Rattus norvegicus: one gene and its partner. The protein of the gene in region 2 interacts with the protein of the main gene of each other region in a biochemical or structural test. Links are inferred from orthologs where the notes say so. Each region holds a gene or a part of one and is shown on either strand. Other genes may lie near its edges.

What was found.
Region 1: the proteins of Drap1 (region 2) and Dr1 form a complex in vitro, tested with the Homo sapiens proteins (2 studies listed by BioGRID). The link is inferred for Rattus norvegicus from reciprocal best matches to the Homo sapiens genes DRAP1 and DR1.

Annotation. Positions count from the first base shown.
Region 1 is NC_086032.1:1,611,486-1,615,765, forward strand, and holds the start of Dr1 (protein Dr1), read right to left. Parts: upstream 3,072-4,280; 5' UTR 2,451-3,071; coding exon 2,231-2,450; intron 1-2,230. UniProt on the Homo sapiens protein: The association of the DR1/DRAP1 heterodimer with TBP results in a functional repression of both activated and basal transcription of class II genes.
Region 2 is NC_086019.1:212,160,945-212,165,284, reverse strand, and holds Drap1 (dr1-associated corepressor), read left to right. Parts: upstream 1-1,522; 5' UTR 1,523-1,727; coding exon 1,728-1,769; intron 1,770-2,000; coding exon 2,001-2,073; intron 2,074-2,158; coding exon 2,159-2,252; intron 2,253-2,531; coding exon 2,532-2,651; intron 2,652-2,749; coding exon of another isoform or gene 2,750-2,770; coding exon 2,771-2,864; intron 2,865-3,004; coding exon 3,005-3,093; intron 3,094-3,471; coding exon 3,472-3,577; 3' UTR 3,578-4,173; downstream 4,174-4,340. Other genes in the region: Bles03 (UPF0696 protein C11orf68 homolog), read right to left, coding at 1-506, 1,163-1,284. UniProt on the Homo sapiens protein: The association of the DR1/DRAP1 heterodimer with TBP results in a functional repression of both activated and basal transcription of class II genes.

The DNA of each region.
Region 1 (4,280 bases), on a different chromosome or scaffold from region 2:
AACTTTCTAAGTCATGCATTAAACTGGTTAGCATACTCCAAAGCTGAACTTTAGTACACGGCTTTCTTTTTTTTTTTTTTTTTTTTGGTTCTTTTTTTCGGAGCTGGGGACCGAACCCAGGGCCTTGCGCTTCCTAGGTAAGCGCTCTACCACTGAGCTAAATCCCCAGCCCCAGTACACGGCTTTCTACAGCTGCACTTCAATCATCATGTCGATCGGAACTCTAAATATACCCTAGAAAAGAATGAGCCTCCCACAAGACAGATTGTGTTATTAGATTTTTGGAACAATCACCACTTCTGTGGTACAAACAAGTGTTTAGGCAGGTCCTACAGAAATCTGCAGTTTCATTAAAAAGTTGATGCTTGACAAAAGGTGGTTCTTCCATTCCTTCACAAAAAGTCAAAGGAAATGTTAGCTACTTGTTAAATATCTTCTAAGAGACTTAAAAACTAAAAAAAAAACTAAAAAAAAAAAAAAAAAGACCAAAAAACCCCAAAACACTTGGTTTCCATTTTTCTTACCACTCAGCAAACCAAACAAGTAGGAAAAAAAAATACTAGTTTTAAGAATCAAGTATGTCAGCTGGAAAGATAGCTCTGCAGGACATTGCTTGCCCAGCACACACAAGGCCCCAAGTTCATTCAGCATGTACACACCAAAGAATCAAATAAGCAGCAGGAATGGTAGTTACATGTCCATGATCCCAGGACCAAGAGACTGCACGAAGAGGCTCTAAGTTTAAGGCCAGGCTAGGTAACAAGAGTGTGAACCTGTTAGCATCTTGCCTTTCCTAACCTAAAGTAAAAACATTGCTTTTTTCTTAGTTATCTGCTATGTGCTGAAATGGCAGAGTATATGTGCATGTGATATGATTATACACACACACACATCTATCAATCATCACGACTCTTACTACCTACTGGGATTGACCTCTGCCATGCTAAGTACTCAGCCTTGAGACCCCCCTCATCACAGCAAGGTGTGCTTTAAATCTACCATCAGCACAGGATAAAGGCTCAAAAATTAAACACGTGACCTTCTTGTCAATACTGACTGCAAAATGGTTATGTTCCATATGATCAGATATGTTCTCTATCAACAGGAAAGTAAAATTTTTAAATGTATAAAATGGCAACGAACTACCTGCCTAATATGATTAAATTTGTTCCTTTTAACCTTAAAAGTAATCAAGAAGTTGTCCTCATTTTCAATAGATTTATAATAGAAGTGATTTACCAAACTGAATGCAACTTTCTCATAAGAGTTCATGAAAAGCCACAGAAAGTATTTCCCAAAATTTGCCAAAAGCAACTTTCGTCTCCTTTCCCTGTAATCATCAAAACAAAATCCCAACTCCAAATCCTTTCCAGCGTAAGAAAGAAACTGTGGGAACCTTTAGAAGCGTTTTTCCATAAAAGCTTAAACGCATAGACACATCCAAATTGGAGCAGCAGGACAGAGGACAGGCTGGGCAGCTCAGCAACAGAATGCTGACTAGCATGTGTCAGGCCCTAGGTTCAAGCCCGAGTACTGTCGTCCCCGCCCTGCCCCAGCCACCCTTTACAAATAATTTTCAAAGAACAATCAATAGTTGGAGGAAGTCAAAAAGGAAAAAATGTGGCACTCGGTTACCTGGTGATAACTGTTCCACCACCTCAGCGTTTTGTAAAGCAAAAATTATACTTTTTGGAAAGAAATTAACTTTACAACAATGAACATACTCATGTTGATAACTTTTTTTTTTAAACTCGGACCTAGGGCCCTTGTGCATGCTAGGTAGATGATATACCACTGACCTCCGTTCACAGCCAAAGAACTTTTTCTACCCCTGTGTTCAAAATGAATCTTTTCCTCAGCACAGGTGGGGAAGAGATATACTCTCTGACTCGACTCGTGCTTGAAATTCTAAAATTTAACTTCCCAAGAGAGAACTTTGAGGTTCCTTTCTCAGTTGTTACTATCCAAGTTTAGCTGTAGGCAGTCAATTCTTGTTGCTTAAAGACCTGATCGGAAACTGTACTGGTTAAATGTTGTGGATGTTTGCTGACCCTAATGTTTGTACTTCTTACTTGCATTAGCTGGATGAAGAAAATGTCCGAAGAATGCTACATAGGTATTTTAAGGTAACTGCACTTACTAGTGAAGTGGAATGAAGGCTCCGTGACACTAGGAGTGACTCTATTAGCCTGGACCTTCATTTAAATTAAATCCCACACAAATTGCTTACCTTGGATGACATGCTCTGGTGAGATTGTCTTCTTTTCTGACTTGTTACAAATCTCGTTGGCTTCGGAAGATATAAGGTGAATGAATTCAGTGCAGCAGTTCACTACGAGCTCTCGGGCATCGTTGGCCACCCTGACATTAGGGAGAGTCTCTTTGATCATCTTATTTATAGCAGCTCTCGGGATAGTGAGATCATCGTCGTTGCCAGACGAGGAAGCCATCGTGCCTTCCTGTCTTTCAAGCCCTAACTTTTAAAGTCCTCCCTCTAGTCCACCACTCCACGAAGATTTCTCAACAGGCTGTCCCTGGAGAGAGATGTCGGGGTCCGGGAGGCTCAGAGTGCAGCAGAAACCAGGAAGGAGCGGGCTCGAGGGCAGGGAACACCCACTGTGTGAGAGATTTTAGTGCGGATATGAAGGAGAGGTCAGGGGGCTGAGGGCTCGCTCTGGGGACACCACTCCCAGGGCTCAAGAACCACCTTGCGTGTCGCCTCAAACGGACTGGCGCTGTCGCCTAACCGAACCTAAACGGCTCGGGGGCGCACGCAAGACCGAGGAGTACCCGCCCGGCCGCAGTACCGGGCGGACGCACCACAGCAGGGTCGGCTCTACAGAGCCGGAGCCCCCGCGGCCACCGCCACTAGCAGCGGTTGCAGCCGCCTCGGCCAAACCATCCTTCAGGCACCCGCGCCGCCGCCTCACAACATGTCTGCCGAAGCCGCAGCTGAACGCACGCTGGCTGCCTGGGAACCAAGTGGACAGGGCCGAAAACAGCGGGAGCCGCAGCGGCAGTCGCCGCGACCGAGCGTTTGGCCGAGAGCAGGCTGTGGGAGCAGAAGCGGCGCTAACGGTGGTCTTTCTACGGGCCGGGGAAGGAGGTTTGCCGCAAGCTGATCCCGACACGCTTTGCGCCACCGGAAGTCTCACTCCCGGGGTCCCACCCGCCCTCCTCGACGGATTTCCGAGTGCTCGCCCCGCCCTTCACCCCGCCCGGGCGGGCGGGAACCGCCGGTGCTGGCAGCCCGCAGCTTCCGCCCGTCGCTGCCCGCGCTCTGCGTCCCCGCGTTTCCTCAATCAGGCCCTAGGGGAGCTCGCCTGCTCTGTGGAGGGATGTGTGGGCCGAAGGGCCATCGGAGGGCCACGTGGCGGAGCAGCCCTGGTCTTTACCGAAGAACTTCCTTTTCCTACGTCCTTAGCTGTCGGAATTAGGGCACTGAGTGAGAGGAGCATATCCCGGCGTGTGGGGAAAAAGGCCTTTGTAACTGCTTAACAGCGTTCAGATCGGAACTCCCTGTGCTCATTTATGACAAAAAAAAAAAAAAAAAAAACAAACGAAGCTTTCAAATAAGTGGCTACCCTCCGTAGCACAAACGGCTAAATCAGAAATTAGTAGTCTGATCCAAAGCTGTGAGTTTGGCCTACCATGAGCTATGGCCCTCTGCACACTTGCTTTTGGAGAGAAGACCAAAAAAAAAAAAAAAAAAATTGGTTTATCTCAAGCGAGTCTGATACTTGCTTCTTTCCGGGTGATTATTAATAACTAGTGCCACATTCATCAGGGAAATTATATTATTAAAAAAAAAAAGCTCAGCCAGGAGATGGCTTTAATCCCAGCACTTTAGATGAGACGCTCAGGCAAGCAAGTCAAGTTCCAGGACAGCCAGGGCAACACTGAAGAAACCTGTCTCCAAACACAAACACAGGCAAAACCAAAAAACTTCACATACGGTCCCATTAATAAATAGTGGGACGTTGTAACTTTTGAAAGGGCTAAGGCACTTAAGCCAACGTGTACAGTTTAGTTTATCGTAATTTTTTGTAGACAGATTGGCAGCTGGGCTGTTGGCAATAATTTAAGATGTTTGGTTTCCAGGAGACTATCATTGTCCCCTCCTACCTGCCTCACTAGACATAGCTTCAGCACTGACCTAGAACACCAGCCTTTGAGTAATTTTTATCTTCAACATTTTCTTCAAGATGCTTCCTGGGAACCATACATTCTTCACTATCAGTGCTACTAAGTTTAATCTTTGATTATAAGGAGTAAATTTC
Region 2 (4,340 bases):
GCCCACCCTCCTTGGCCCGTGGGCTCACCTTGGCCACCTGAAGACGGCCCTCAACTACAGCCCGGGCAATGCCAGCCCAGGCATGGTCCAGCTTGAAGCCAGGTGCCAGGTGAATCAGCCACTTGCCGGAGAGCACATGGTGGGTGATGGCCAGCTGGCGCAGGGTACCTGGTGTGATGGGTCGCCCACTGGTCTGCAGAGCCTCCCAGGCTGCCTGCAGCCCTTGTACATCCCCTGAATTGGGGGTGTAACCCTGCCCATAGGCTGCAATCCAGCCCACAGGTTCAGAGTTGGGTGAACCTGGGTCCCCATAGCGAGTAACTTGAGATGGTGGGTACTTGGCCAACCAGGCATCCAGCTCTGTGGCAGGTGTAGTACGGGCATCAAATACCAGCCAGGGGTCCATGTCAGCTGCCATGGCCTCTGCAGCCAGGTGCTCAGCAGTGAAGCCATCCTCACGACCACCTGGAGAGTCCTCCTCTTCCAGCTCTTCATTTGGTTCCATCCTGTTGTGAGGGAACTGAGTCAGAAGTTTGAGACAGTAAATAAAAAGTACTGGGTCCTAGAGGGTGCCAGGCACTGCTTTTAACTGTGGCCTTGGGCAAGTCTTAATGTCTGTGCCTCAGTTGCTTCATCTTCACAATGGGATAACAACTGATCCTGTCTAGATTTGTCTCTAGAATAAAATGCCTGAGGTGGAGTCGCTATTGTCAGTACTACTTTCACTGCTTAAAAACAAGGAAATTGAAACTCTGAGAAAAGGGGCTTGCCCAAGGTCATGTCTGTAAAGACCGTTAAAGCTTAAGTGTTAACTGGCACAGGACTCTGCTACACCACAGGACTAGAGTCTCGCAGGTAGCGCGGCGCTGCAATTTAATGGACGTAGGCAAAACGCAGGTTCGCCAATCTCAGAGGCTGGCTGGAGAGGGGCCAGGCCTCCCATGGTGAACTATTTGGGGCACACTTATCAACACCAAGACTCTGAGACCCAGAGAGGACAGCGGCCCATCTGGGGGTCAATGGGCAACATCCGGACTCGAACCTGATAGGACAGAGTCTGCGCGAGGACCAGGCTCCAGCCTTACCACACCCGCCGCCATTAGTGTTCACAGGTAAGGGTTGCCTCCACCCCCGGGCTGCCCTCTCGTCGCCCCACAGTCACCTCCGGCCTTCACTCCGCTCCGCGCCAACCCAACTTCGGGCCCGGCTCCGTTCCTGCCCGGGGTCTGCGCCGCCACCCCCGCCGCGCCCCGCCCCTGCCACGGCCGCCGCCGCCGCCGCCATCTTAGGGTCCCGCCACCTCAACAACAACTTTATAGACAAACACAGTCACGGGGCGGGGCCAGAGGCGGAACCAGAAGGCTAGGGGCGGGGGCTCCAGGGGAAGGGGCGGGCTGAGTTCAGGGGCGGAGCCAGCGCGAGAATCCCGGGAGGTGCAGGTCTTCAGGAGGCGGAGCTAACGTTCGTACTTTAGCTTGGAGGGCGGGTGGGCGTGGCGGGCGATCCCTGAGAAGGACGCGCACCGCCCTAGAGGATCCAAAGCCCAGCGCTTGGGTTTTGGGAGCTGCTTTTCTACGAACGGCACTAGGACCCTGCGAGAAGTGGTGTGGGCGGAGTAGGCGGCACCAGGACCGGGGGGAACCGCGGCCGGCTGGCGGCGAACAGGCCCGGGGCCTGGAGGCTGCGGGCGGCGGCGCTGGGCCCGGCGCAGCGTGAGAGGCCCCGAGATGCCAAGCAAGAAGAAGAAGTATAACGCGCGGTTTCCGCCGGTGAGCACGTGGCCGGGATGGGCCTCTGCAGGCTAGGTTCCTGGGAGGCTTGGGCCCAGGTCCTGCTGGTGGGGGGACGGGTGCTTTTAGGTGTTCATGGCCTGACGCCCCGCCCCTTCCATGCCCTCCTGGCTTAGTGCCCCCCGCCCTCTTCTCCTGGGATACCCCCCGGTTCACTCAGCTCCCCTGTAGAGACGCAGGAGACGAGCTCTGTCCCCTTCCCCTCGGCAGGCGCGGATCAAGAAGATCATGCAGACAGACGAAGAGATTGGGAAGGTGGCGGCAGCTGTGCCTGTCATCATCTGTATCCTACTAGGGGCTGGCTGGGCTGAGGGGCGTGGGGCGGGACTGCGGCACTCCCCTTTTTGGATTCTCCTTGACGTCCTCAGCCCGGGCACTTGAGCTCTTCCTGGAGTCTCTGTTGAAGAAGGCTTGCCAGGTGACCCAGTCTCGAAATGCCAAAACCATGACCACGTCCCACCTGTGAGTGGCCGCTAAGCTGGGCTTTTGAGGAGGCAGTGTTCTGACAGGGGGAGTGGTGCGCTGCTGAGGGAGGCCAGCTTTGTGGGTTTGGACTGATGTAGGAGAGATAAGGTGTTTCAGGTGGAGGGAACAACCAGAGCCAAGCCGCCCGCCCGGGAGGCCTGGTGGAAGTGGGGAGGGGTGTTCCACTGTACTGACACGAAAAGGTTGTTTCTATGATTCCGGAACATCAGTGTTTTGGGGGCCCTTTTTGAACACCTTCCTCTCCCACTTCTACAGGAAGCAGTGCATTGAGCTTGAACAGCAATTTGACTTCTTGAAAGACTTGGTGGCATCTGTGCCTGACATGCAGGGTGATGGGGAAGACAACCACACGGATGGGGACAAGGGTCCTCGAAGGTGGGTAACCAAAACCAGGTATATAAGTGGGAAAGGCCAAGGCCACAAGGGTTGGGGGTGGCTGGGGGGTGAAGAAGGGGAGAGAGTCCTCTGTGCAGATGGCCTGTACCTTCCCGAAGGGGCCGGAAACCAGGCAGCAGTGGCAGGAAGAATGGAGGCACAGGAAGCAAAAGCAAAGACAAAAAGCTGTCCGGGACAGACTCAGAACAGGAGGTGAGTGAGGCCGGTGGGGAAGGCCTGGTCTCATCCTTGTTACAGCCTTTGTATCTAACTCCATTGCCTTACCAGGGTTCTGGGCTCCCCAGAGAAGGGCCCAGACCTTCTCATTAACCTGACCCTTGCTGTGCTCACAGGATGAGTCTGAGGACACAGATACAGATGGGGAAGAAGAGACACCACAGGCCCCACCCCAAGCCAGTCACCCCCCTGCCCACTTTCAGAGGTGAGCACCCCAGGGATACCAGAAAGAGGCACAACAAACTCCCCAGAGCCAGTTAGTTTTACTTCCCTAGCCATTGGTGGTGGTGGTGGTGGTGGTGGTGGCGGCGGTGGCGGCGGCTGACTTTAGGGAATGGAGGGGAGAGAACACTATTAAACACAAGAGATTGTTCTGAGAAGGCCTTGCCTCCATGGTAGTGGGTCGGGGAGAGAGTCTGGAGAATGGTCTTTGCTGGGACCTTCCCTCCTAGGGGGGTTGTCTCCATGATGTAATGGGTGGCTTTGACTACACCTGCTTCTGTCTCTGGAGAATGGGGGTGGGCCTGTGGGTTGGGCACAGCACAGTTCCAAGCTCTGATTTTCTCCATTTTCTGTCCTGCAGCCCTCCAACTCCCTTCATGCCCTTCACCTCTCCTCTGCCTTTACCCCCAGCACCTCCCGGCCCCTCAGCACCTGAGGCAGAGGACGAAGAGGATTATGACTCCTAGCGCCCTTTAACCCTGGCCATATGCTCTTTTAGTTAGTATTAGTTGCTTTGGGGAGAAGAGAAAGATGGAACTGTTCTTAAATTTATTAAAAAAAAAAAAGGATTTTGGTTTCTTTTCATCCTGTGTCCAGGGCTTCGTGGCTGTATTGCCCATCCCCCCACCTCCCCACATGGGGGCAGCAGGAAGGAACATTGTTGGGGCAGCCAGTGATTGAGTTAAAACAGGGAGTCTGACAGGAGTCTGGGGCACTGAAGAAAGGAATGTGGTCTAGGGACTGAGTTGCCACATGCTAAGGGGTGACCTCTCATTGTGTGGGACCTTGGGCACCTTCTTCCCCTCTCTGGACTGCTGAGAAGGGACAGATGGAATCAGTACTGAGACGGGGCCTTGAAAAGTATAGTGTTGGGCTGGAGAGATGGCTCAGCGGTTAAGAGCACTGACTGCTCTTCCAGAGGTCCTGAGTTCAAATCCCAGCAACCACATGGTGGCTCGCAGCCATCTGTAATGGGATCCGATGCCCTCTTCTGGTGTGTCTGAAGACAGCTACAGTGTACTTATATATAATACATGAATAAATCTTTTTAAAAAAAAAAAAAGAAAAGTATAGTGTTCTGCAGCCAGTGCAGTGACGGGCTCGGCACAGTGAAGAGACGGGTACCTGAGATAGCAGAGGGTCTGCGAAGCATCTTTGGAGCCAAGCAGTCTGCCAACTGTATCTGAACAGCCTGGGCAACCTGTGTGCCAAAGGCAAGAGGTACACCTT